Anolis sagrei: one gene and its partner. The protein of the gene in region 1 purifies or fractionates together with the protein of each later gene. This does not show direct contact. Links are inferred from orthologs where the notes say so. Each region holds a gene or a part of one and is shown on either strand. Other genes may lie near its edges.

Region 1 (3,755 bases):
GACTGTGAGAGCTGTTCAGCAGTGGAACTCTCTGCCGTGGAGTGTGGTGGAGGCTCCTTCCTTCTTTGGAGGCTTTGAAGCAGAGGCTCGATGGCCATGTGTTTGGAGGGGTTGGCTCATCATCACAATAATAATAATAGTTACAACATGAGGAAGAACTTCCTGACTCTGAGAGCTGTTCAGTGTTGGAACTCTCTGCCCTGGAGTGTGGTGGAGGCTCCTTCCTTCTCTGGAGGCTTTGAAGCCGAGGCTGGATGGCCATCTGTTGGGGGTGTTTTGAACGTGACTGCCCTGGATGGTAGCCAACTGGAGGATTGTAGGATTCTAAGGCCCAAACCAGAGGCTGGATGGCCATCTGTTGGGGGTGTTTTGAACGTGACTGCCCTGGATGGTAGCCAACTCGAGGATGGTAGGATTCTTAGGCCCAGGCCTTAGCCCAAGAGGACCCCCAGCCACCCCTTCTCCTCACCTTGCCCGCCCTCTTGGTTGTCCCCCAGGGCGCCGTCGTCCCCACCGAGGTCCCGCCCTCGTCCCACTCGCCCTCCTCGAACATCTTCCTCCCGGCGGCGGTGGAGCCAGGCAGGAAGGAGGGAAGCCCGGAAGTGGCACGCTGCGGACCGGAAGGAAGGAAGTAAGAAAGGAAGGAAGTTCCGGCGATAGAGAGGGAGAAGGAGAGAGCGCCCCCTGGAGGCCCCCTCCCTCCCTCCGTGCTGCCTTGTGGTAGTAGGAAGGAAGGAAGTTCCGGCGATAGAGAGGGAGACAGAGAGAGAGAGAGAGCGCCCCCTGGAGGCTCCCTCCCTCTCGGCTGCCTTGTGGTAGTAGGAAGGAAGTAAGTTCCGGCGATAGAGAGGGAGAAGGAGAGAGCGCCCCTGGAGGCTGGCTCCCTCCCTCCCTCCCTCCGTGCTGCCTTGTGGTAGTAGGAAGGAAGTCAGTTCCGGCGATAGAGAGGGAGACAGAGAGAGAGAGAGCGCCCCCTGGAGGCTCCCTCCCTCGGTGCGGCCTTGTGGTGGTAGTGATGCTAGTGTGGGCTCCGCCCTTGCAGTCCCTTGTCCGGCCAGGAGGGAGTGGGCGCCGCCCCGGGTGGGAGACCCACGCACAGCCACAGCCACGAAGGAGGGAGAGCTGAGGAGGAGCCTTCCTGCCTGCCTGCCTGCCTTCCTCCCTTCCTTGCAGTCCGGCCATGGACGACATCTTCGCGCAGTGCCGGGAGGGCAACGCCGTGGCCGTGCGGCTCTGGCTGGACAACACCGAGAATGACCTCAACCAAGGGTCAGTCTGATGGGCATCCGGATGGACCTCTCTCCGGAGGGGTTGGGACGGGTCCCGCCATGGCAGGGAGGGAGGAGGGAAAGAGGCAGGCCTGCTGGCCCTCTGCAGGGAGGGGTTAAACGGGGCCCGTGGGGGGTGGGGTGCTCTCCCAATCCAGCATGGAGACAGGCCTCCTTCTGGGACCTTTCAAAGGGGGCTGCTGGCCCTCTCTCCGGAAGGGTTGGCTCCTCATCATCACAACAACAACAACAACAATAGTCTTAGATACTTAATAATAGTCATCATCACAATAATAATAGTAATAGTAGTCCTAGACACTTAATAATACCAATAATAGTCTTAGACACTTAATAATAATAATAATAATAATAATAAGTCTTACACACTTAATAATAATAAGTCTTAGACACAATAATACTAATAATAGTCTTAGACAATAATAATAGTAAGTCTTAGACACTTAATAATAATAATAAGTCTTAGACATTTAATAATAATAAGTCTTAGACACTTAATAATAATAATAATAGTCTTAGACACTTAATAATAATAATAAGTCTTAGACACTTAATAATAATAATAAGTCTTAGATACTTAATAATAATAATAATGTCTTAGACACTTAATAATACTAATAATAGTCTTAGACAATAATAATAATAAGTCTTAGACACTTAATAATAATAATAAGTCTTAGACATTTAATAATAATAAGTCTTAGACACTTAATAATAATAATAATAGTCTTAGACACTTAATAATAATAATAATAAGTCTTAGACACTTAATAATAATAATAGTCTTAGACAATAATAATAATAATAGTCTTAGACATTTAATAATACTAATAATAGTCTTAGACATTTAATAATAATAATAATAAGTCTTAGACACTTAATCATCATCATCATCACAATAGTAATAATAATAATCCTAGACACTGAATCATCATCATCACAATGATAATAATTTTAATAATAATAATAACATTCCTAGACACTTAATAATAATAATCATAATCACAATAATAATCATCATCTTCAGGGGGCGCTCTCTCTCTCCCATAACCATGAGAATGACCTCAACCAAGGGTCAGTCAGACAGTCAGCTCCATGGGCCTCGGGGGGGGGGGGGGGGGGGACCTCTGTCGGGAGGGGTCGGGACGGGTCCCGCCATGGCACAAGGGAGGGAGGGAGGAGGAGGGAAAGAGGCAGAGCTACTGGCCCTCTACCGGGACGGGTTAAACAGGGCCCTGGGGGGGGGGTGCTCTCCCAATCCAGCATGGAGACAGGCCTCCTTCTGGGACCTTTCAAATGGGGCTGGCCCTCTCTCCAGAGGGGTTGGCAATAATAATAATAACAATAGTCCTAGACACGGAATAATAATAATAATCATCATCATCATCACAATAATAATAATAATAATAATAGTAGTAGTAGTCCTAGACACTTAATAATAATCATCATCATCATCATCATCATCACAGTAATTATAATTATAATCTTAGACACTTGGGAGATGTCCGACGTGTGGACTCATCTTGTAGTGCTTCAAATAATAATAATAGTAATAGTCTTTATTTATACTCCGTCACTATCTCCCGACTCAGGGCGGCTAACAATAATAGTAATAATCACAATAATAATAATAATAATAATAATAATAATAATTCTAGACACTTAATAATAATAATCACAATAATAATAGTCCTAGACACTTAATCATCATCATCATCACAATAGTAATAATAATAATAGTACTCCTAGACACTTAATAATAATAATAATAGTCCTATATACTTAATAATAATAATAATAATAATAATAACAGTCTTAGACAATAATAATAATCTTAGACACTTAATACTAATAATAGTCTTAGACACATAGTAATAACAATAATAGTCCTAGATACTTAATAATAATAATAATAACAATAATAGTAGTCCTAGACAATAATAATAATAATAATAGTCTTAGACACTTAATAATAATCATCACAATAATAGTAGTAGTAGTAGTCCTAGACAATTAATAATGTAAATTGCCTACAGCATTCTCGGATGGAGGGCGATTAATAAGTTATTAAATATGATGATGATGATGATGATGATGATGAATAATCATCACAACAATAATAATAATACTCCTAGAAACTTAATAATCATCATCATCATCACAATAATAATAATCCTAGACACTTAATAATAATAATAATCATCATCATGATAATAATAACAATAATAATAATAGTAATAGTCCTAGACACTTGGGAAGTGTCCAACGTGTCATCCAACACAACAGCCAACAGAGTGATCTTGTCTGCTGTGGACTCATCTTACAGCGTTTCTAATAATAATAATAATAATAATAATCTTTATTTAAACCACGCCACCATCTCCCGACTTGGGGCGGCTAACAACAACAACAACAATAATAATAATCTTAGACACATAATAATAATAATAATCCTAGACACTTAATAAT
Region 2 (3,755 bases), about 67 Mb from region 1:
GTTCTGCAGCGTCCTGAAGATAACGTTTGTTTACGGCAAGACAAGGTCACTCTACGGACAACAAAGTAAAAAAGACTGTATATTATTCTGTTACATGCCTGTAAACCGCATTGAGTCGCCTGTTTGGGCTGAAAAATGCAGTATAGAAATAAAGCAAATAATAATAATAATAATAATAATAATATCGCCGTTGAATGAAGAGGACTCACCAAAGATATTGTTTTTTGTTATATTTTGGTGAAAGCAATTCTTCTGTCTTGTTTTGTATACAGTGAATAGAACTTCATTTTCATTTCTACTTAAAGCGAAAGATTCATGTGTTTTTTTATGAGTTAGTTTTATCACACGAGTTAAAAGGGCTAAGTCATTCTGTGGGCTACTAACGCTAACAGATGGCACTTGCAGTACCTTCACTCACTTCCTGAGACCACTGCCACCCTCATCCAATGACTTATCAAGACCTAACTTGGCGTACAGAACCCCCATGACCCAGTCTACATCCTGTTGGGATCTGAAGGACGATGGAGTATGGATGATGGGACTGGCAATACCTTCACACACTTCCTGAGACCACTGCCACCCTCATCCAATGACTTATCAAGACCTAACTTGGCACACAGAGCCCCCATGACTCAGTCTACATCCTGTTGGGATCTGAAGAACTATGGATGATGGGACTTGCAGTACCTTCAAACACTTCCTGAGACATCTGCCACCCTTACTCTAAGCCTAAGGGTTAGGGACTTACCATTAAAGAACTCTTTACATCTAATGACTTATCAAGACCTAACTTGGCACGCAGAGCCCCCATGACCCAGTCTACATCTTGTTGGGATCTGAAGGACGATGGACTATGGATGATGGGACTTCCTGAGACTACTTTGCTCAGAAACATTAGTCGAAGCTAGAGTATATCAAACCTTAGAATCTTGGGATTTGTAGTTCAGTGAGGCAGGGAAGGCTAGAAACCGTCCAAAAACTAGACTTCCCATGATCCCATAACATTGAGCCACAAAGTCGAGCCAAACGCAGGATCTTCTCAGCGGCGCATGCGCAACTCTTCCTCATTTTGGGTCGCTCCTCCACTCCCTCCCTTTGTAGCGCCTCCTTTTTTCTTATTCTGCGCCTGCGCGCGAAGGGGACGACGGGAGGCCGCCGCTCGCGCACGCCGCTCCAGCCCTTTTCGGTACTTCTCCGCTCGTGGCCTTCAGGAAGAAAGAAAGAGAGAGAAGATGGCGCTGCACGTCCCGAAAGCCCCGGGCTTCGCTCAGATGCTGAAGGAAGGCGCGAAGGTGAGAGAGAGGAGCGCTCGGCGGGGGTGGGGGGGGGGGGGTGGCGAACACGGAAGGTTCCAGAAGCCGAGGCCTGGCCCATGGAGTTCTGAGGGAACACGCGCTGCTCGGGGGGCGGAGCCAAAGGGACCACCGAGAGAGAGCGCTGCTGGCCTCCTTCCCTTTCCTTGCCCCGAGGGGGGTCCTTGGGTGCCTCCCTTTTCCTGCCGCCTTTCATTGCGGGACAGTTGCCTAGGGACCGGGAGGCTCGTGCGCCAAAGAGGCGTTGGCCCCAGCACTAACTGTCCCGCGTGCTGACGTAAGAGGTACGCGCCAGGCTTGGGCCGAGAAGGAGAAGCACCCCCCCCCCCGCTTTTTATTGCGAGTTTGTGATTCTGAAGCACAAGTAGTCCAAAAATGGCAGAGTGTCCCCTCCAGGTGGTTTGGATGCGCCACTTCATGCTTGCCTTTACAACCCATGCGCCCCCTTGGTGAGTGGGAAATGTATTTATTTATTTGAAGCATTTATACCCCGTCTTTCTGAGGGGGGACTCAGGGCGGCTTGCACTAGGCAACCATTAGATGGAGCACATTGAATTAACAAACGCCATTAAAACAATTATAAACATTCAAGAATTCTAAAGTATTGCTAGTTTAAAATCGTGATCCTAAATCAGTCCATTCCCGGTCACAGCAGTCATTCACATTCAAATCATTATATCTATTGCTCAAAGGCTTGACCCCAGAGCCAGGTCTTAAGTTTTTGGTGATAGTATGATAGCTGGGTCCAGAAACTCTGAGCATTACGCACATTCTGCAACGGTGGTTGTGAATAAGGGTTAGGGAGAGCGGCACACTAAGGGTGGGAATATACTTCATAGTTGCATTTGGTGGAAGGATAAAAAAGAAGTGAGGGTTAGGATAAGGTTTAGGGGTAGGGTAAGGTTTGGGGTTTGGGTTAGGATAAGGGTATGCCTTAGGGTAAGGGTTAGGGACTTACCATTAAAAAAACTCTTTACATTCCTTCTATAATATCTGTGTTCCATTCTGCGTTGCACAAACAGCGCTCCCAAAGGAGCGAAGCGGAAACAGCATAACGCTCAGAGCTTCCGGACCCAGCTTTCATACTATAACCAAGTTTAAAAAAAAAAAAAAACCAGGAGGGAGGGGACAGATCTGATATCATTTTGGGGGGATTTCCAAAGCCAAGGAGCCACCACCGAGAAGGCCCTTTCTCTCGTACCCACCACTCACGGTTGCAAGGAAAGGAGGTTTCCTGTATGCCTCTTGTTCCACCCTCCTGTTGTGACAGCAGCTTTGAAGTCACTTTATAAATCAGGCATAGGCAAACTTGGGCCCTCCAGATGTTTTGGATTTCAGCTCCCACAATTCCTAAAAACTGGTAGGAATTGTGGGAGTTGAAGTTCAAAACACGTGGAGGGCCCAAGGTTGCCCATGCCTGCTTCATAGAATCATAAAAGTTAGAAGAGACCCTAAAGACCATCCCATCCAATCCAACCCCATTCTGCCATGCAGGAACACACAATAAAGCATTCCCAACAGGAGGGCCCATACATCTTATATATTTATTATTTATTTCATTTTTGCCCCACCTTCTTCACCCAGTTGGGGACTCAAGGTGGCTTCAATGCCACATGGACATAACAATAAAACACACCCCATCAAATTATAAAAACAGTTAAAACATATGAGCAATTAAAACACATGAACAATAAAACAGATTAAAACCATGTAAAGTGCAGAGTCTTGATCCCATACTTATCCACAGTCGTTATTCAGGCTGTTAAAATCTAATTCTGTAATGTCCTATTCGCTAAACACCTGCAAACAAAGCCAGGTTTTAAGCTTTTTTTCTACAGACCAGGACGGGTAGGGCCTGCCTGATGTCATTAGGCCTGCCTGGTGTCATCTCCTGCATACCTCTAGAAAATGACTCAAAACACTAAAAGGCAGCACATTCCAGATTACCTGAGATATTAGGTTCCTTTGTACATACCGTGGAGAGCATTAAGATCAAGCATCCGCAAACATCTGTGACACTTTCCGTTTAAAGTTCACTAGAGGGGTCCTTCTCGGGAGTGGCTCCCTCTCTTTGAAATGCCCTCCCAGGGGAGAATAGATAAGCACCCTCTTCGTCTGCATTTAGGAAGAGCCTAAAAACTTCCTTTTCGAAGAAGTCTTCAGAGGAAAATAGCAATACCTTAAGGTTGGGAAGGCCCTTTGACTTTGTTACATATTATCATGGTGGCTTTAAATATATTTTATTGGGGTTTTCATTAGTATTCCACAGTATTAGCTAATACTTATAGTTTTAATTTGTCATTAATTTATATATGTTTCTACTGGCTGTAAGCCGCCTTGGGTCCTTGACTGGGGAAAGGCAGAGTATAAATTTCACATTTCATAAATAAATATTCTACTGTATTGTCGAAGGCTTTCATGGCTGGAATCACTCAGTTCTTG

Evidence for each region.
Region 2: the proteins of ILK (region 1) and CCT8 purify together in Homo sapiens (affinity purification with mass spectrometry; 4 studies listed by BioGRID and IntAct, with this or other methods). This does not show direct contact. The link is inferred for Anolis sagrei from reciprocal best matches to the Homo sapiens genes ILK and CCT8.

The regions. Positions count from the first base shown.
Region 1 is NC_090023.1:1,050,719-1,054,473, reverse strand, and holds the start of ILK (integrin-linked protein kinase), read left to right. Parts: upstream 1-1,180; coding exon 1,181-1,269; intron 1,270-2,339; exon of another isoform or gene 2,340-2,360; intron 2,361-3,755. Other genes in the region: RRP8 (ribosomal RNA-processing protein 8), read right to left, coding at 470-553. UniProt on the Homo sapiens protein: Scaffold protein which mediates protein-protein interactions during a range of cellular events including focal adhesion assembly, cell adhesion and cell migration.
Region 2 is NC_090023.1:68,093,962-68,097,716, reverse strand, and holds the start of CCT8 (T-complex protein 1 subunit theta), read left to right. Parts: upstream 1-1,114; 5' UTR 1,115-1,232; coding exon 1,233-1,292; intron 1,293-3,755. UniProt on the Homo sapiens protein: Component of the chaperonin-containing T-complex (TRiC), a molecular chaperone complex that assists the folding of actin, tubulin and other proteins upon ATP hydrolysis.